Diceros bicornis minor: one gene and its partners. The protein of the gene in region 1 purifies or fractionates together with the protein of each later gene. This does not show direct contact. Links are inferred from orthologs where the notes say so. Each region holds a gene or a part of one and is shown on either strand. Other genes may lie near its edges.

Evidence for each region. Proteins that work in one complex are often made in the same cells at the same time.
Region 2: the proteins of STK24 (region 1) and PPP2R1B purify together in Homo sapiens (affinity purification with mass spectrometry; 3 studies listed by BioGRID and IntAct, with this or other methods). This does not show direct contact. The link is inferred for Diceros bicornis minor from reciprocal best matches to the Homo sapiens genes STK24 and PPP2R1B.
Region 3: the proteins of STK24 (region 1) and SIKE1 purify together in Homo sapiens (affinity purification with mass spectrometry; 4 studies listed by BioGRID and IntAct, with this or other methods). This does not show direct contact. The link is inferred for Diceros bicornis minor from reciprocal best matches to the Homo sapiens genes STK24 and SIKE1.

The regions. Positions count from the first base shown.
Region 1 is NC_080748.1:74,651,027-74,658,305, forward strand, and holds the start of STK24 (serine/threonine-protein kinase 24), read right to left. Parts: upstream 3,010-7,279; 5' UTR 2,688-3,009; coding exon 2,646-2,687; intron 1-2,645. UniProt on the Homo sapiens protein: Serine/threonine-protein kinase that acts on both serine and threonine residues and promotes apoptosis in response to stress stimuli and caspase activation.
Region 2 is NC_080746.1:24,465,757-24,472,958, reverse strand, and holds the start of PPP2R1B (serine/threonine-protein phosphatase 2A 65 kDa regulatory subunit A beta isoform), read right to left. Parts: upstream 3,004-7,202; 5' UTR 2,986-3,003; coding exon 2,872-2,985; intron 2,015-2,871; coding exon 1,924-2,014; intron 1,496-1,923; coding exon 1,395-1,495; intron 1-1,394. UniProt on the Homo sapiens protein: The PR65 subunit of protein phosphatase 2A serves as a scaffolding molecule to coordinate the assembly of the catalytic subunit and a variable regulatory B subunit.
Region 3 is NC_080743.1:47,414,665-47,421,511, forward strand, and holds the start of SIKE1 (suppressor of IKBKE 1), read right to left. Parts: upstream 3,004-6,847; 5' UTR 2,961-3,003; coding exon 2,802-2,960; intron 2,569-2,801; coding exon 2,463-2,568; intron 1,575-2,462; coding exon 1,432-1,574; intron 1-1,431.

The sequences.
Region 1 (7,279 bases):
TGCAAAAGTAATAATAAAGCAATAATTCAGCATGGCGAGTAGGAGCACAGTCTTGAAGGCAGGAAAGACCTGGTTTCAAACCACAAATTTGCCACATGATACATCGTCTCACCTTGGTCCATTCCATTAGTCTCTGTTGGTTTCTGCATCTACAAAATGGCATAAAGAATACTTATGCCTCAAGTGGTAGCAGTAAGAATCAAGAGGCATAAAAATGATTCGCGAGACAGTGAAAAATCGTGTTTATACTAAAATGTTCTTTCATTCAGGTTTTTTTTTTTTTTTTAAGCATCTTTGCCTCGGCTGCCTGAATTCACTCTGCTGTCTTTCTGAAATTTTTAAGCCAACTCGTTAAAAGCCCTGGTCAGGAGATGAGATGGAAAAAAAGGGAGGGATGAGGTGTCTCAGGACAGGGCACAGAAGGGTTAGTACCTCCCTCCTGTTTTATCCTGAACAGTCAGTCAAAGGCAGGTGCATCTTTAATTTAATCTCAACAACTCTGAGGAATGCCTCCCTGGGCAGCAGCAGCTGCTAATTCCAAGTAGAAAATAAATGTGCTTGTTGTTTTTCTTTTTTAGGGGGAAAGGAGAGGAAAGGAATGTTCTTCCCCAAATGGCACCCAAAAACATTTATCATACAGTTTGAAGATGTGCTTAAAAGCAGGGATGGCTGTCAGAAGCCACCTTCGCACCTCTGAAACTATAACAGCTGAAATGTGGTCCTCTCAACTAAATAAAAATGTACCAGCTTTTACACTGAGAAAGCAAAATAAAAACAGTTCCCTTGTAACACTACCCAGGAAATACACTATATTTGGAAGGCAAAGTTATTAAAGGAATTTTACCTTCTTTTCCCAAGAGTTAAGAATTTTGGCCCACACTCCTGAAGAAAAAAAAAAAGCAAGGACAAAAAAAAATTGTCGAGACCAGATACCACCTGGTGACCATCTGATACTGACTTCAGGGCACAAGCTACCCAGGCTTGAAGTCCCTTTCCAAACTGATTCGCTTTCCACAAAGGCCAACTACCTCCACGGTAAAAACTCTAAGTGAGGCCTTGGTGCTGGATTACAACCTGATTAACACAGCATAGAAGTCAGTCTAAAGGAAATATTAACTAAATGCATTTTTGTTATCATTACAAGAGGCCCCCCTTGCTCTAGTCGTCAAAAATAATTTTTCACGCAGTTCACCTTGCCTTCCTGCCTCTAAATTCAAACCAAACCAAAGCAAGAACTTTAAGAAATACCAAGAAACCACATCTGATTTTTACCTAGCGGTCAGCAAAAGCTTAGGTTTTAAATGCGTGTTCAATTTAAAGGCTCTTTAAATGAGATTCAAGAACAGTTTTCTTCAGGCACACTCAAGATATTAACTTTAACTGCTACTCCTTAAAAAAAAAAAACTCCGGCCAAAATTCTGGTAACTTTATGTTCCTATTTTTCCAGATTTCAAAGCTGAACAGTGAAACCCACTTTTCACGGTTTAAAAAAAAGGAAAAAACATCTGCCTCAGAAGAGGTGGGGCAGATCCCCTGCTCCTAAGAGGCCAGGTAGGTGCCCTGTTCTCAGCCCTCAAGGGCGAGGGAAAAAGAAAAAATGAGCCTGCAGATGTCTGTAAAATAAATAATCCACTTGGAAAACTGTGGTTGTTTTCTTAGGTCCACTCGCTTAGCTAAACTGAGAGAGCAAAACTTGGAAGACATACCGTATCGTGAGATTTGAACCCTAATCATTTTGCCACCATATATGCGCTTACAAACAGTACAAGTTAGTCACGGATGGTGGTTTTCTTTTTCAAAGGGCTAAGAACAGTGCCCAATGGCAAAAGACCTTAATACATTCACGTTAATTTGAAATTCAACTTCTCTCCCCCTCCAAAAAAGTCACTGGTCGGCCAGGATGCCACAAAGTATCAAAGGAGAGGTTGACTGGGAAGGAATTCATCCGGATCCAACCAAGTCTGAAAGTAAAAGCCCAGGGTCCCGGGGTCCGGCACGCGAGTGCACGGTGTCCGACTGATTGCTTCTTCCAGAAGGTTTCCAGGCTCGCACTTTCCCATCTGCACCAGGACAGGCGCGGAACGAACGCGCTGGAAGTGGGGCTGGCACCTACACCTTGCCGCACCCCGCCCTGCCTCCTCCAGCCGGCCGGGCCCGGCCCAGGACGAGTCGGGGCGCGTCCGGGGCTGCCCTCCCGCCGCTCAACTCTCCGGCCGCTCGCCGGGGGGACAGGGGCCTCCGCCGCACGCAGGGCCCCGAGCCGGATCCGGGCCTCCAAGGGCATTTCTGCGCATCCATTCTCCCCGGGGAGGTCGCCGGCGCCGGGCCTGCACTCGGGAGGCGTTGGGAAGAGAGCAAAGCGGGGAGGGCAAGGCGGCTGGCACCCCCGCATCCCTCCCTGACCGCGGCGACGCCGGCCGGCGAGGGCCGCCTCCAGGCCGCGGCGCCCCGATCCCCGCACACCCCCGCCCCCGAGCCTGGGGCCGCGGCGCCGGGCAGTGGCCCCGGGGGCTGGGAGTACCGCGCGGGCGGCCGGCGCGACCCCGGAAGGGCAGCGTGGGGGGGCCGTGTTTACACCGCCAAGTTCCCGCTTCCGCTCCGGCCCGCGCATCCCTCCCTCCCTCGGCGGCCCGGCTGCTGCCTACCTGCATGCCGGGCAGGCCCGACTGCACCGGGGAGTGTGCCATGGCGCTCGGGACGGCCAGTGCCTGGGACGGGACGGTCGGGCCGCGGCGATCCGCGCGGGCGACGAGGCCCGCGGGCCGCGCGCAGCCCTCGGGCGACGGGGGCGGCCGGCCGGAGCCCGAGGCCACCCCAGCCCCGGCGGGTCCCGGGCCGGGCGGCGAGCTCAGCGGCGGGCGGCGGGCCGCGTCTCCATGCGCGGCGCCGGGGAGGGGCTCGAGGGGCGCGGGGCCTCGCCGCCAGCTGCCGCCGCTGCTGCTCCGCTGGAGCCGGGCGGCCTGGGCCCGCGCGCGCCGGTCGCCTGGAGCCGGAGTGGGCGCGCACAGCCGGCCGAGCCCGCGAGTGCCGAGCGCCCCGCGCGCCCCGCCCCGGCCCGGCCCCCGCGCCCGCCCCCGCGGCCCGGCCGGGGACCCCGCCCCGCGCTTCCGGGAGGGGGAGGAGGCTCGCGGCCGCCCGGGGCCCTAGGCCGCAGCCGCCTGCGCCGCCGCCTGCCGGGGCGGCCGGGGGTCGGAGCGTCTCCCGCGGGCTGCCCCTCCCCCCAGCGGCAGGGCAGAGCGGGAGGAGGATGGGCAGCCGGAGGGGAGGTGGGGGCGGGCGGCCGCCCGCCCGGCGGGGAGACGAGGGACGCGGCTTGGAGGCAGGGATGGGCCGCGTGCCCACCACCCCCACCCCACCCGCGGGCCCAGTCGGGCCCTAAGGGGGTCTGGGCAGCGCGGGAGCGGTGCGCACCGACTCTTCCTCTATCCTCCTCCTCCTGCCCTCCCAGCCAGCCCACCGCTCGCCATCTGCCCCCGAACAAACTGGCTCCGGGCGGCCTCCTCGAGGGTAGAGTCTGGGGCTGGGGGACCTGGGGAGGGAGAGTGCCCCGCGGGGCCTCAGCCAGTGGCCAGTTCAAAACTACCAGGGCGGAGCTTCTTCGGCGTCTGGGTAAAGTTTCCTACCAACCCAAGGAGGAAACCGAGAGGGGAGAGGCCGAGAGCTGTTAATCCCCCGTGCTTTTGCTACTTGAAGACAGCCCCGCTTGGACTTCGAGGCGCTGCAAACTTAGCTAAGTGAGGGGGCTCCGCACCAGGGCGGGAGCGGCCACCCACGAGAAGGGAAAGGTGGGGGAGGGGCAGGGAGGAAGGGAAGACAATCGAAGGAAACGTGTCTAGACTTACCCCGGCCCTCTCCCTCTTTCGGCTACCAGCGAAAGGGCCAGCTCCGCCTTCAGCACCAGTTCGACCCCCACCGTTTAGCCACCTCTTCTCCAACTGCAGAGGAAAGACATTAGGAATGAGTCAATACTGCCTCCAGAAAGTATTTTATTTACAATGACAGAGTGGCAGCCACTGAAGTGATCTGCTGCACCTCAGGTTGTGGGGACCCTGGCTCCTCATTCATGCCCGTGAATGCTTTTGTTGCACCATCGCTGTGCTAGGTCGGACGTACAAAAATGAGCCCCCCAGAGTTCACAGACTATTGGAGGAAACTCTAAAAGTCCTCTACTAAGGCAAGGAATGTTTCTTCTCTGAGATGTCACTGTGTTCTTAACAACTTCAGGTCCCTCTGGTGCTCTGGATCAGAGAGTGGGGTGCTTAGACTGAATCCCTCTTTCCCTTTGGAAATATGCATGTTTTTCCTCGAGGTCCTTCAGGATGGTTCACACACCTTCATGGTTGTCACTGGTACACTGTTTTCACTGAAATATGAAGCCCTGCCACCTCCAAGGAATGTGAAGAGCATGTGGCAAATACAAAGTTAAGAAAAGCATGAATCCTGATACCTAGGAGCTTGCCATCTTGTATAAATCTTGTGTACCTAAAAAATGGTTACGTAAAGAGATGAACAGCAAAACAAGCAAAAACGTGAGTCTTAAAAGGGTTAATACTCTTTAACCCTGGAATTCTACTTAAAGTAACAAATGCTGAGGAAACAACCAAGAAGTGCAGAAGAACGTAGATAAAAAGATGCAGTGCAGTGATATTTATAATTGTGGGAAAATTGGAAACATTAAAAGTCCACAGAGATTTTTAAGTAAATGATAGTATATTCATAACGTGAGTTCTAGGTAGTTATTAAAAATTATGTATTTCAATATTTAGTAACATGGAAGAATATTTTCATTATATATTATTAAGAAAGAAAATACAGGGTACAAAATTATGTATAGTCTGATCTCAAGCTACTCCACATATATGAATTTATAAATTTAACATATATATAATTTAAATTTATATAATTTTATGCATATATGCATAAACAGAGAAAAACTTGGAAGTATATTTACCAAGCAGTGGCTATCCCTGGAATTAAAGGTGATTTTTTCAGTAGGTGGTCAACCAGTAGAGACTATCATGCTAAAGAAGTCTCTCCTTAGGGTGAGCCGTCAGGGCAATAACATGGCAGCAAGATAAGGAGGAAGAAACAGGACAAGTGGGCAGAAATGTTTGGGCCCTGATCTGAGGCATTACCATAGGAAACTCTCAAAGAACACTGGGGCCCACTTTACGGTGGGCTAATTTCCAACAAATGTGCCACAGGGGACACTGGACCATAACAACCTGGGTATAAAAAGTAATCAGAATCCCGTTTTCTATCCAGAGGCTAGTGAGGCTAAGAACATGTTGGTTACAATGGGATATAACTTATCTGCACACAGTGACCTGCATTCATTAGCTGGTCTATTTCCTTGTACCCTGTTTATCTCCTCACCACGACTAAACCTCATTTCCTCCTTCAACCATATTTCTACAATTGAGCACCATTCTCCTTGAAAGAGAAGAAAGAAGCAAAATAAGAGTTACTGGTGCAGCTCGGTCATATGCAGACATTACCCGGGATTCCCCATCAGTAGCCCTCTCCCTTTGTTTTAGCAGAGCAGAGATGATTGACAGGGCCCGAGCCCATGATGAGATCCTGCCCAATTGCTCATTGCATTGGTTCATACATTAACACATTGTTCTGAACGCCAACTACATGTCAGACATCTAGGTTAGTGTTGGGCATATAAACGCTGGATCCTCAAGTGCCTCTTATCCCATCCTAGGGACATGGTCTCCCAGAATGCTAACTTCAGAATTTTACAATACCACAACTGATTAAACTTAGAGTCACAACAGCTATAATTTCCACAAGGGAAAGAAGGTTATCCTGTCATCCTCTTCCTCTGGTCACTTTGTCTCCACCCTCAACTTATAATTACAACAGATCATATACTATTGTAATTTCAGAAGGAGAGATTTTGAGGGTCTCCATAGAGATTATGCATTTTCTGGTCTCCATGGAGACACTTGCTAACCCATGGAATTATTTTCATCCCCTGGCTCTCTTTGTCTTTTGTGTTGACTTAAGGACATGAATTGGGCAATGAATTGTGCTCTGACATATATTTGGGACCACAAAGGACATTTCCATACCCTTACAATGAGCCCCTCCAAATATAGAGCCCTTGTGTATTGAAGTTCCCTAAGCCAGCTCTGTAGTCTCAGCAGAGCTCAAAGAGTGCAGCCGAAAACAAGAATTCAACAATCAGTCCCTTCACTTCTCCTTCTGAGTTGAAAAGATAAACACCCCCAAATGCCACTTTATAAAGAACAGCTAGACAAGTAGCACATTAGCAATTTAAATTTGCAGATTAAAGAAAGGGACTTACATGGTGAACTTTAAAGGGAGAAATATGAGTAGCTTGGATAAGTAACTAACAGAAGGCTTGACAAATTTCTACACATGTTCAGCAGGTGAAGACACAAAAGAGGAAGACAGATTATTAAAATCAGTATGAAGAAGCATGCCTCGTCATAGTTAGATGACATGATGGCAAGAAAATATATGCTAAAGCCCTAGGAAAAGATCCAGCTACATTGAGGTATGGTGCAAACGAAGTTTCATTGTGTGGGTGTGAAGCTCAGAGGGCCAGCTCTCAGAGCGACGTGGCTCCACGTCCGTTTTTGGTTGCTAGGGCTGCCATAACAAAGTAGCACAGGCTGGGCGGCTTAAACAACAGAAATTTATGTCCTTACAGTTCTGGAGGCCAGAAGTCCTAGATAAGATGTGGCAGGGTTGATTTCTTCTGAGGCATCTCCTTGGCTTGTAGATGGCCATTTTCTCCCTGTATCCACACATGGTGTTCTCTGTGTGTACGTGTGTGTGTTTCATAACCTCCTCTTCTTATAAGGACACCCGTCATATTTGATTAGGGCCTACCCTAATGACTTTATTTTAACTTAATTACCTCTTTGAAGACCTTATCTCCAAATACAGTCACATTCTGAGGTACTGAGGGTTAAAACTTCAACATATGAATGGGGTGGGGGGACACACATGATTCAGCCCATAACACACCCTTTTCACTGTATGCACGTTTGCGGTCAGCCCCTTTAAGTGGTTCCTCGAGGCTCAGCTCCCTGAGCGAGAGCTTCCTCTCTCCCAAGGCCTGTGGACCTTTCTGCACACTTCACATTTCACATTTCTGCTATTAGGCATTGCTTCATATTTCCTTGGGCGTAGTCCCTAAACTTTATCTCGCGTAGAAACCGGAGCCTTAATCTCCAGTCACTGGACAACTGAGAGCAGAAGCAGGGAACAGAGGCAGGTGTTTGCTTGGTAAAATATTTCT
Region 2 (7,202 bases), on another chromosome or scaffold:
GCTTGGTTTATTCAAAGAACAGAAAGACGATCACTGTGAATGGAATGAGGTTATCAAGAGGGAACACGATATGAGATAAGCTCACAGAGGCAGGTTTTGTAAACTAAGATACAAGCTAAGGCAGAAATGTGGATTTTCTAAGAGCCATGGCAGGGAGTGATCCATCTGCTGGGTGAAGAGTGAACTGTAGGGGTGAGGTGGGAGGCAAGAGGGGAAAGCAACTAGTTAGGAAGTTACTGTAGTAATCTAGAGGAAAGATCATGTGGCCTGGAAAGACTAGAGGAAAGATGAGCCAGCTAATAGTAGGGATGGAGGAAAGTGGACTGATTTGGAATGTATATAGAATCTGTAGAAGTTACTAATGGATTAGATGTGGGAAATGAGGGAAGGAAGATTCAAGAATGTCGTCTAGGTTTTGGCTTGTGCAACTGGGTAGACGGTGATGCCATTTACTGAGATGGGACAACTAAATGAAAGGCATAATTTTGGGGAGAAAATTGAGATCTGTTTTAGGCATGTTAAATTTGAAATGTCTGTTTGACATCCTAGTGGAAAAATCATAGGCAGATATATAGAGACAACAGATAGATATCTATATCTCTCTTTCTATAGCTATATCTGAAGTTCCATGGAAAGGTAGAGATAAAATCACAAGAGTCAGCATGATATACACAGTATTTAAGCCCTGAAGCATACATGCCTATCTTCTGCAACTATCCAAATTCCTAGTCATCCTTCAAAACCTAGTTCAGACATCATCTCCCATGAGGTCATCCCTGATCACCCTAGGTTAACTCTTTCTCTTCTCCATTACTTGAGTACCTTGTATGTGCTTTCATTTTTCCATCTAACACTGTACGTAATTATTTGTTGACAAATATGGACAGAGACCTCATTCCATTCACATTAGTCTTCTTTAACATTAACACTGTAACTTCAGTGCCTGATATAGTAGGCTCTCAATAAATGTCAACTAAATTGAAGTGAACTCATCAAATTCACAAAGTAAGCCAGAAGCAAACGTTATGCTTACGATCAAAGACAAAAAGCTAACAAACATTTCCAAAGTCATGACACTGCTAGATGAGAATTAAGATTTCCAATTTCAAGAGAAAAAAAAATAAACAAAACCAATCAAATCCTTTTTCTCCCAACCTCTAAACTAACAAATAAGTCTACAGAGGCAGAAAAGAGGAAGTTCTTATATTCATAGTCAGAAAAAATAAGAAAGGGTTGAGTCCAAAGTACCTACATTATTTGTTCTCTCAATAGCTAACACTGCGACTATCCATAAAAAGATCTGCATAAAAAAATGCTGCAGTGTGTCTACCACCAAACAATGTATCATTTATACTGCAAAAGTTCTAGAAGGAGGGCAGGCAGAATATACTCACCAGCAAACAGTGGGCAAAGTCAGGACCTCCCACCAGGCCAGTGAAACTTCCCAGCTGCTCTGCAAGAGCTAACAGTACCTCATCTTCATCATAAATTGTATCTGGAAATGACAACAACCCAATACTCATCAACAAGGATAGCTGGCCCAGAACTGGACACTCACATAAAACTAGGAAGAGACATGAAGAGACTTAATATGTAACTCGACGGTCCTGTCACAATCCTTTAACAGTCTTTTCTTCCTTCTCAATCAAGAGTCGTCTTAGATCTGTTTTACAGAATGAATTAGAAATTCATAATCCCATTATCAACAATTACTTTACTATTAGCTAAACAGTTAATGTTTGAATATGTCTGGCCACAATATTACAATATGCCCTGTCCTGTTCTCTTTTGCCCCAAAAGCATCAGGCTCAGTTTAGCACTTAATAATACTGGGGGTAACAAATGCTAAAAAATACTCAAAATTTTGAAAGCCACTGGAAAACAGAAATGCCCATGCCTTTCTTTAAACAAAGATTCACATACCTGTAAGGAATGGCAGCAGTTCAGTTCGCGTCCTTTCTACTCCAAGTGCTAGAGCAATTGTTGATAACTTCTTAATACTGTTGAGACGGAGCTTTAAAAAAGAAAGTGGAAAGAAGAACGAAGTAAAGAAATAGTTGTGATTTAGACCAAAAGACAAAAGTTGCCAACAGGTGAGATGGCGTACGAGTAAGAATGAGGAAAACCTTCAGTTTAGATTTTATTCTATGAGGAACGTCAGGAGCAGCGTAACACGGCTTCATTAGGAAGATGTCCTAGTAGAAACACTCTGAAGGCCCCATTAGAGAAATGAATGAAAGAGAATACAACATCCAGGGAGTGAGACATTTTAGAAAGGGAACTCTGGCAGTGGTGAAGCAGGAAACGGTTGAATACAACTCCCGCCTTTTCAAAGAAAAGTTCGCCCAAAGCTGCCACACCGACTCCTCTAGGTTCATCAGCCACCCCACCCTCTTTCTACCCCACGATCCCGGCCGGTTTGCAAGCCCAGAGGAAGGCATTCATTCACCCGCACTTCAAAGGGCCCCTTGGCGCCGCTGCCGGCTGCTCAGCCCCTCGCGGCCCCGCGCCGCCCTCCCTGCGGCCGCTCGTCGACAAGGACGGCCGGCCCAGCGCTCGACGCGGCGCTCCCACCGCACGGCCCGGAAGGGCGCCCAGGCGGGAGGCCGGTTCTCCCACAACCGCCTGGACCGGTGGGACGCCGGGCAGACGCCTCAGGAGGTCGGGAGGAAGGGTGCTGGAGAGCTCCCCGGGAAGGTCGCGCCGAGGCACCACAGCCCCTCAAGGGTCGCTCCCCTCCTCCCCTTCAACTTTCAGCTCGGAGCCCGCCTCTTTCCATCCCCCGGCCACCCCCACCGCGGCGCCGGCCTTCCCGCCTCCCTCCCACGCGCCTGGCTGGGCCGCCTTCGCTCCCCGACCCGAGGCCAGTACCTGCACGTCCTCATTGCGGAGCTCGTCGATTAAAACCGCGATCGGGTATAGCGAATCGTCTCCATCTCCGCCCGCTGCCCCGGGGCCGAGCCCAGGGCCCGCGGCGCCCGCCATGTTCTTTCTCCTCCGCCTGGTTGCTGCCTCCGGCCCCGCGCCCAGGCCCCGCCCCGCGCCCAGGCCCCGCCCCGCGCCCAGGCAGGCGGAGCTAATGCCCGCGCTCCTTCTCCGCCAAGGTGGAGGACCTGGATGTCTGCCGGGCTGGTGAAGGCCCTCGCCCGGTCCCCCTTGGGGGAGCTGTAGCTCTAAACACCAGAAGAAGGGTGGGCTAAGAAACCGAATGGAGCCCCTGCGTCCTTTCCCCAGCCAAAAGAAACAGGGGCAAGGATTCATCCTGTTCGTGGTGCTCTGAAGGGGTCAGGGACCTACTTGAGTGATCCGTGCTGTGTCCTCTTAGGATTCCGGCGGACCAAAGAGGATGCCCAAGGCTAGGAGGAAAAAAGATTTAGCGCCTCCCCTCACTTCATCCTGGCCCTGAGCCAGTGGGTCTCCAGCTCTAATTTCCCCACTAGCCTCAGGCTTCCACAGAACCCCTCCACCTCTTCCTTCGGCCTGTGCGCCAGAATTGTATCTGGCTCCTGCTGCATAAGACAAATAACGCGGGCGGTGAGAGAAAATGAACAGTGCTGTCCAAACTCCCCAGTCAATATTTTTTCCGCCTTCTCCATGCAAGCTGTTAAAAACATGCTGCTCTCTTGTTTTTGTGTTTCTTTTCAGTTTGGTACTGGAATGGTGCCTTCTGTTGTATTTTCTTCCTCCCATTTTTTAGATCTTTAGCATGCTAGAAGTACAACAATCAAGCAAAACTAGGACAAGCTTTAATCCTTCCAAATTGAGTGGAGTGGCTACTTTGCTTGTACAAGAAAGGCTAAACTGGCCTCCCTAGAACTCCAAGAGTCCTGAAAGGCAGCAGTGGGAGGATGTGAGGGTATGGGAGTTCTTTCTTAAAAAACTTAATGGAAAGTTTTCATTTACCCTTGTTAGGGCAGCAGAGAATTACTAGAATGTCCTGTCTTTTTGTTTGTTTTGGACTATAAGCAGCTTAGACTGATACCTATATATGGTGATCACAAGCTTTGAAATGGTAGTTCTATGTCTGATTAATAAAAATGTAAAATTATTAATAAATGCAATTTAGGAGACTTTTTCTTTAAAACATAGGGTTCCTGGAAGTAAATACAGTAGATAGGGCATATGATAGTAGTGGAAGTTTGGGAGTGAATGGACCTGAACAGTATTTCTCAAATTAGGTCTATGGATGTATTCTCTAGGGTTTTAATTTTGTTTTCATTTTGATAATATTTTTTAGATTTGCATAAGCATATACTGGATTATTTGGGTGACCACTTCATAACCTGGTATTGCCACGTGATTTCAGTACCTACATTTGCACGTGTGTTTCAATTCTGCTTTTATTGTTTGGGGATAATGAGAAACGAACAGAGGTGGATTTAAAATGAAAATGGTGTTTTCATGCACAAAATGAAAGCCAAAAGACATCATGGGGGCCAGCTCGGTGGCATAGTGTTTAAGTTCATGTGCTCTGCTTCGGCAGCCTGGGGTTCGAGGGTTCAGATCCCAGGTGCAGACCCACCCACTGCTCATCAAGCGATACTGTGGCAGTGACCCACATACAAAATAGAGGAAGACTGGCACAGATGTTAGTTCAGTGACAATCTTCCTGAAGCAAAAAGAGGAAAATTGGCAACAGATGTCAGCTCAGGGCCAATCTTCCTCACCAAAAAAAAAAAAAAGACATCATGGGACTGCACTGTTGCAGTAGTTCTAACAGAAAAGTGGTGAGAAAATTGAGATGTCAGAGGTCACTTGGTGGCATAGGCATGTTGAACTCAAAAGACGTTGATCTTTCACAAGCAATACCATAGTCACAATACAAGGGATAATTTAGTCTAAGCAAAACATCAATTGTCATGTTAAATTACTATATTAATATGCATAGTATTAGTTTTGTGGTTTCATATGTATTTAATATGTAAATCTTTTTTGGTTTTTTAGTTGTATAAGAACTATAAATAAAAGAACATTATATTCCTACTTTATATTTATAAATTTAAGTAACATTGTAATAAAAATTTAATTGACAGAGTTTTCAAGATTTTTTTTTCCTTTAGAAATGGATCCAAATACTACTCAAGTTTGAGAAACAGAGGGCTGAGAGGTTTTTTGATTTAGTACTTTACCAGTACTAAACAAGTAGATCAGAGGGGGTTCCTATTGGCATGGAGAGGAGAAATCTGTTTCCTTATACTTTATGTAAAAAGTCTTCAGAAATGATAAAGGAAGCAAATGCAGAGAGAAGCACATTAAGTCAATTCCAGACATACCATCATCTAGATATTAGCTTAAGCTTAGACAACCCTCCATCTGCTAAACAGAAATTAGCACATGGATTGATGCTAAGCTATTTTGTTTAAAACTCAAGTACGCTTTGCTTACTCAAGCACAATGAATTGGACACCTAAAGAATAACTATGATTAAATACGAAATCACAAGCTGAGAAAATAGGCCCCAGAAAATTGCCTGGTTTTAGAGTCATCAATTCTGGACTTCAATTCCCACCTCTGTCTCTGACTCATTGTGACATACCTCTCCCTATGCCTCAATCCTGCTTCTCACCCCCTCATCTCCAATAAAATGGAGCTAACCCCCTCTGGTTCCCTCTCTGGTTACTGTGATGATGTGAGAATGAAACAGGTAGTAAACATGGAGATGCTAATAAATCCTTCAATAAAGAAAGTGATTAAAACAGAGTGAAGCAGAAAGAGGCTATTTCAAAAATTGGGCCACATGGAAACTAGAACAAAATGTAAGACAGTCTTTTGGAGAGTGTGGTCCACTGACTATCTGAATCACATAAGTTGCTTGTTTAAAAATGCAGATTCCTCTATGTCAATTATTTCTCAGTAAAACTGGGGGAAAAATGTGCATTCCTGGCCTCCACCCTAGATTTACTGAATCAGAATCCCTGAGAACGGGGCAGGACATTTTACCGTGCACCCCTGGTGGTTCTAATGTGCAATGACGTTCGAAAGACATTGATTTAAAAAGTTCATCTGGAAAAATAAGTACCATATCAACAAGCATCTGCTCAAGGAGAGTCTGAAAAGAGTATCTGGAAGCCACCTCAGTCCAGAAAAAGCAAATGATAGCTACAACTGCTTATCAATAAGCAATTCTATCCCTATTGGCTGTGGTTTTTGCCAGATTAAGACGATCCCTCTTTTGCTGGATTCCTGGAAGTCAGCTAGGCACTACAAATACAGAACTGTGTCACTGAGCTGTTTCCATATGCTCTCTTCCTCTCTATTGCGCCCTCTGGTCTCCTGTCCACATCCCACACACACAAGAAACTAATGACCAGGGAGCACCAGAGGGAATGGCTGAGATAATGCTGAGGATTTGAAGCAACACTCAGGAAACAATGTGACATTCTCAACACTGAGTTCTGATACCCACATACAGTTCACTCACCCAGTGAATCAAGGGAAGACAGGGTTAGATTTGCCCAGGTCCTGTCAGATGAAGCATCAAGAATATGGAGCAGCACAGGCAGATGGGATCGATAGCCATCAACTCTTGTGTTTCTAACAGCTCTCAATGTCACAACAGAAGAGGGTCAGTCCTGAGGAAGCCTGAATGACGTCATTGTGCTCTCTGACCTCTCACCTCACATGTACTAAGCTTGCCTCTTCCTCACAGTCCACAGAGCTTTACAAACAGGCGCTCATTCCAGGACTGATCTGCTCCAGAGTCACCCCACTGGGAGAGAAGGCCAAGTGCAGCAGAGAGACCTATATGTAGGTCGTTCTCTCAGGGCAGACCCAGCAGTGCCGACCCATTGAAAAGGCCATCAGGAAAGTGGTGGATGGCCCAGTTCTTGTACAGAAAACCTGAGGTACATGCAGGCATTTTCCAGCTTTCTTCATTTAGCAAGCTGACCCTGGTAAACAGATTCCCAGGTCTGCACTTAATTCATTGCAAATTAGTAATTATCATTATAGTGTTAATGATATTTTGAATTTATGTTTATACAAAGAATATCCTCATTCTGCGGGTCTCAAATATTCCCCCCTCAACTTCACCTCAATATTTTTACTTTCTTTCTCTTCTCTGCTTTTTGGCAAAATTTTAAACCCATTTTCATGGCTGGGAATACTTGACAAAGAGAAAAAGACTTTACCTGGAGTCACACAGTCAATCAGAAGAAGCTATGGAACTCATAATCAGGGATTATCACTACTCTTTGCTTCAT
Region 3 (6,847 bases), on another chromosome or scaffold:
CTACACCACTTGTCTGTCAGTGGCCATGCTGTGGTGGCAGCTCACATACAAAGAGGAAGATTGGCAGCGGATGTTAGCTCAGAGTGAATCTTCCTCAGGAAAAAAAAAAAAAAGATCAATTCTAGTCTAACCAACCACTGCATGTTGGACAATATCTCTAAGTGGCTGTTTAACTTAAATTTGAATACTTTTATTGGCAGGAAGCTTACCACATTCCAAGGTTTCTTATTCTATCTTTGGACATATCTCTTAGCATGTTTTTCATATGAGCTAAACTGTCTCCTTCAAGGTTCAAGTGTTCTCCTCCAGACTACAGAAAATAAACTTTATTTTTCTCTTCCAGATGAATGCCATTCACATATTTAAAATATCCCTGTTCCCTAAGACTTTGGTTAAGTCAGTAAAATTTTTTCAATGGAATCTAAGATAAAACTTATCTTTCATAAATTCCACTGCAGCAAAGAGTGACACGCCAATCTATTAATCCAGGATTAAATTACAGAGTATATGTGAATGTACAATGACAACTATGAAGCACTCTACAAACATAAGGAAAATTACTGGGTCTCCCAAATTAAATCATAAGCAACTGAAGTGTAGAAACTATGCCATATCTATTTTTTTAAAACCATACTTCTGTCTCCTGACAACACAGTATAATGCTATGTAATTCAGTTTAATAAAGGTTTACTGACTGCCTGCTATGTGCTAGGTACTATGTTAGGGATAAAAGATGAATTCATGCTCCTTACAATCAAAGAGCTTACAGTTTAGTGAAATGTACTATAATAACCAAGTATTTACTGAGCACCTTCAACACTAACTGGCATTATGTTTGGTGGAAGAACTAAGCATTCATTAACATGTTGAAGAAAGATCTTGGTGAGGGAGGGAGGAATCTCAGTCTCACTCAAATAAAAGGACCTGAACAACCCTTTACCCTCTTCTTTCTATTCATATCTTTACAAAGCTATAGCAAAATCAACAGCGAATGTGATAGACATGAAAGGAAAACAAGCTTACTTTTCTTAAAAAAACAAGGACACCGGGGCCGGTCCCCGTGGCTTAGCGGTTAAGTGCATGCGCTCCGCTACTGGTGGCCTGGGTTCGGATCCCGGGCGCGTACCGACACACCGCTTGTCCAGCCATGCTGAGGCAGCGTCCCACATACAGCAACTGGCAGGATGGGCAACTATGACATACAACTATCTACTGGGGCTTTGGGGGGAAAAAAGGAGGAGGATTGGCAATAGATGTTAGCTCAGAGCCAGTATTCCTCAGCAAAAAGAGGAGGATTGGCATGGATGTTAGCTCAGGGCTGATCTTCCTCAAAAAAACAAAACAAAACAAAACAAAAACAAGCACACAATCCAAAACAATTTCAAGATTTTAATTCAGTTCACTTAGAATTTATTCATCAAAGTTTCTTACTGCAGAGTGAGACTGGTGAGCTTTCAGGACTGGTTCAGCATCCACTGCTTTTTTAGCAACCATTAATTGTAACATCTGTTTCCGGTACTTGCTCATGATGAGTTCCAAAGCATCCTGATGTTCCTCCAAGGAAACCCATAGCTCTATCAAAAAATAAAATAACTTGGCAGTGATGTCTGAGAGATAACTCCCAAAGCCAAACTCTTAACAGTTGGAATTTTATGACACTCTATGAGATATTGTGAATTCAAAGTTGTAAATCTGCGTTTAGGTCCAAAAAACTCAACAGTTAAGGTCTACGTGAAAAATAACTTTCTGGCTAGTGGCAGCATAGTCTGGCAGAAACAAAATGAGATGTGGAATCAGAAGACATGGGTTTGAGTTCAGTTCTGTGAGTTACTAGCTTAATACTCAAGCAAACCATTTAACCTCTCTGAGCCTATTTTTTATCTATATTGTAATAATAAATACCTGGCTTGCCTACCTCAAAATGAAGATATGAGAATACAATGGGATGATACATGTGAAAGCCCTCTGTAAACTGATATACAAATAACTATTCATAGCCCTATCATAAATAATGTACTCATTCAAGCTTAAGACTACATACCCTGAAGATAAAATTCAGCTCTTCCACTTACACAAGAACCTAAAAAAACCTTCAGTCTTTAGTGTTTATTTCAATTAATATTTAAACATTAAGTTTTAAGCCCTTGAGGATATTAACGCTTTCGTTATGCAAGCCTCCACCTGGGGATGCCTAAATAAGCCACGCAGTAATTCAGCTCTACTAAGCATCTCTTTGATAAGCTGCCTATAAAAACAAAATCAGTCAGATGACATTGAAAAGGGTAATGTAACAAACTTCATTGTTTTGGGCCAGCGCAGTAACTTTTCCTATTAAAAGTACTGACCCGGAAATACATACAGCACGTGCACTTTTGTGAACAGTATGACACTTTTGTAAGAACCTTTGAAATATTACTGGATATGAGAAAATCATAGTAACTACAAAAAAAGTCCTGACTAACCTCTGTTTTCCTGCTGCAAGTCTCTAATCTGTGTATTCTCTTGGGAGAGCAGAATGTGAGGTTTGTATTTGGACAAGTCCTTTATATCGGATGCATCCTCTTGATACTGGACAAACAGAGACAGACTAAGTGCGCCGTCAACAGAACAGCCACAGATGCAAATGAAGAGGCAGGAGTCAGAGCTCCAGGGCAGCATTCTCAGCCCCGATCCCGCAGAAAGGTCTCACCGATGCCCTCTGAGACCAGGAATAAATTCCAGGCCGAGTTTCCATTTTACCTCGCCCTCCATCCCTCAAGTGCCCAGTACCTGAGGGCACGGACCCCTACCCTCTGCCTGACCTGGTCCGGAAGCGCTGTCCCCGCCTCCCGCATAGCGGCTACCCGCCGGTGCAGCGCCGCCGATTGATCCACCAGCGACTCGGCAGCTGCATCATGCTCCCGCAGTCTCTCCAGAAGCGTCTTAGCGTCTGTCAGGATCTTCTCAATGGTGCAGCTCATAGCTGCCACCCGACCCCAGCCCCACCTCTGCTCGCCTACCAGAATCGCTCAGATCCTCCCGCAACGTGTCTCAGCATTATAGACGTCACTTCCAGGTACGCTTAAAAGGCGCCTCGGCAGCTGCGATATGCGCCTGCGCAGTGGCAGCCTAGTCCGGGAGTGACCTGCTTTGACCGGCGGCTTTCTTGCGGCCTCGCCTTGCGGAGTGTCGGAGGCCTGGCCTTGCAATGCCCTTGGTTTCATGTTCCCGCAGCCTGGTGGTCAAGTTCAGTTATGGCTGGGCGGGCTGAGTTTCTCCTTTCCCTACTGGTTTTGATTGATGTAGATTGTTATTCAGTCGTCGTTCTTTTCTTTTTCGTTTAGTTTTTAAAAAATTGTGGTAAAATGCACATAAAATTTACCATCTTAACCATTTTTAAATGTACAGTTCAGTAATATTAAGTGCATTCGCACTCTTGTGCAACCATTACTATCTAACTTCAGAACTCTTCATCTTGCAAAACTGAAACTCTGTACCCGTTAAATACTAATTCCCTATTCTGCCTTCCTCCTAGCCCCTGGCAACCACTATTCTACTTTCTGGCTCTATGGATTTGACTGCTTTAGGTACCTTATGTAGCTGGAATCATATAAATCAGATATGTCGTTTTTGTGACTGGCTTATTTCACTTGGCATAATGTCATTAAGGGTCATTTATGCACATCAGCATTTCCTTTTTAAGACTGAATAATATTCCATCTTATGTATATCACATTTTGTTTATCCATTCATCCATCTATGGACACTTGGGTTGCTTCCACATTTTGACTATTGTGAATAATGCTGCTATGAAGAGAGGTGTACAAATATCTCTTTGAGTCCTTGCTTCCAATTCTTTTTGTTTATACCCAACAGTAGAATTGCTGAGTCATATAGTAATTCTATTTTTAAATATTTTTGAATGACCATACTGTTTTCCACAGTAGCTGCATTTTACATTTTCACCAACAGTGCATAAGGGTTCCAATTTCTCCATGTCCTTGTTGACACTTGCTATTTTCTGTTTTTTGGTTTCTGGGTTTTTTTGCAGGGAAGAAATTCATCCTGAGCTAACATCTGTTGCCAATCTTCTTCTTTTTTTCCCCTCCCCAAATCCCCACTGCATGGTTGTATATCCTAGTTCTAAGTCCTTCTAGTTCTCCTATGTGAGCTGCTGCCACAGCAGGGCAACTGACAGATGGGTGGTGTGGTTCTGTGACTGAGAAACAAACCTGGGTGGCTGAAGCAGTGAGAGCTCCACAATTTTGACCACTAGGCCATCAGGGCTAGCTCTATTTTCTGTTTTTTTGATAGCCATCTTAATGATTGTGAGATGGAGTCATTGCTATTTTCTGCTTGCTTTTTTTTTCCATTTTAATTCAATTAAGAAATTGGAAATAAATTTAACCAGAACAGTGATGACTTTTGTGCTATTTGTTATATGGGTTTATGATTTTACCTTGTCAAGCATGTATGTCAAACATTGTTCTTCTTCATTCATTACTATAATGAATATTTTGGGGGAACCTTCTTTGTTTCAGGCACTGTTTAGTGTCTGGGAATACACCAGAGAATGATACAAAGTCTCTGCTCTTAGGGAGTTTATATTCTAATGGGAGAAAGAGTTCATACTCTTACAAATGATTGAAAGTAATGACAGGATTAGGAGCCTGGTGAGAGGGGCAAGAGTGTCAGAGCAGTAGTGTGAGGTCAGAGAAGTGAGGGGAGAGAACTGAGCTTTTTGCCTTTGTATTCCCAGCAGCTGGCACAATGGAGACATTCAATAATTGTTTGTCAAGAGGGGGATAGGGAACAAATTCAACAAAAATAACAAATCAAGACAACTGACCAACAGGAAAAAAATTAATGCAGAGCCACAGAGGTAAAGAGGTTTCGTTCATTCACTAAAACAAAGCAAAACACTCTTCCTAAGTGATCTCTTTCACTTATTTGCCTTTGACTTCCATTGAGAGATGATGGTTCTCAAATCCGTCTGATCTCATTATCTTTGCTTCTAAACCTGCTCCTCCTCCTGTTTCAGTAAAGAGCACATTCATATACCTCTTTGCCCAAAAAAGAATCCTGGAAGTCATCTTCTATCCTTCCTACTTAGTGTTTACAATTAATCAGTTACCAAAGCAATCTATCTCCTTTATAGCTTTAGGACTTATTTCCTTCTTTGTATTCTCACTGCTATTGGGTATATTGGGCCGTCGTCCTTTCTCACCCAGACAAAGCAACAGTCTTCCAACTGGTCTTCTCCCTACCTCAAGTCGTCTCCTCGTCTACTAACTCTCCCCAAGGATACCACAACCCCTTGCTGCCTTTTCGGTGGCAGGTAATTATTATTCTCTGCCCACCCACGTTAGGGCTGAGAACTAGCCGGCTCATTCTAATTCCCTAATGACACTGCCAAGCAATTACTCTTACTTGCTTGTGTAAAACCTCCGTTTATTTGAAGCTTGTCTCATCCAGCTGGAGAATCTTCTGTCTCTCCTTATTGCTGTCAATTACTGACCTACTACCTTGGGTATTCTCCTTTTTTCATAGAAGATTTGAGGAGCTGGCTTACAATCTTTTTTATTACTTAACATTTTGCTCTCATCTTGGGTGACATTCATGTCCGTGTGGACAATTCATCTAATGTTCTATCCTTCCTTGTCCTCTTCCATTCTAGAGACATTCAATTTATTTGACCATCCATGGCCACACCCTTGATCATTCACTAAAAATTGTTTCTCATCAAAAATTTTAAGCTTTAATATCTAACTCTTTGACTGCAAACTTGGTTTCAATCTATCCAGTTCTTGCAACCCTTTCTGCCACTACTGTCTCTTTGACCTCATCCAGCTCTTTGATTTCTGAATATATCTATATTCTCCCCACCTATCAGACTTTTCTTGTGGTCTAATATTCTTTCCCTGACCAGACTGAGCTCTTGTGATTGGCAATCTGAGCCATCGTCTCTCTGGCACCTCTAATTCTTTAGCACTTTTCTTTTTAGACCAAATGCAAGCAGTAAACTCCAACCCTCGACCAATCTTAGGATTCCAGTAGTGATTAAAAGGGGATACAGAAATAAGGGAGAGTTTTTGTTTCTGCTTTTATTTTGTTTTTATGGACAAATCTTGAGCATGTTTATAGGCTTTATAGGGGAAGGATCCATTAGAGAAAGAGATATAAGAAAGTAGGGGGACATTTAAAGGAGGAAGAACCAGAAGGAGAAGGGACATAGTAGCTACTTAATAAATTTTTGCTGAATATTGATTGGGATGATGGACATAGGGTTAAGAATATAGGTGAAGTTGCTGGACTTGAATAGAAAAGAGACATTTCATTCTCCTTATTTGGAAAGAAAAATAAAAAGGGTAGGTACAACTATGGGTTATAGATGGGGAAACATGAAGATAAAGGAGTTCTAACCTTCAAGCCGTCCCAATACTTCTGTATCCCACCCATCAATAAACCAATAAGATAAGCTCAGGTACCTGTAGTGTTGTTCATGGAAATTAAACAAATTTCCCAAGACCTCTTTTGCTTGTTCTGACTTATTTCCATTTTGATCTAATTTCTATCGGCTCCTGTTTCTTGGCTCCATATCCTCCTTATTATTTCACTCTTACTCTTTGGGTCAGGAAGTGATTTTGGGTTTCCCTACCTTTATTCTCAGCTCTCAGACTGCCCTATCAGCAATTCCACTTTTGTCTCTCTCAGGGTATATACCTTATCCCAGTGATCCTCTGATGATCCAAATGCCAACTCTGACCCACAGGATAATGTTCCTGCCACAGTTACATGAATTCTAGTGGGGAGGGACTTGGAAATTTTACTGGAAATACCTCTTGTAGTACCATGCCCATTGCCATAG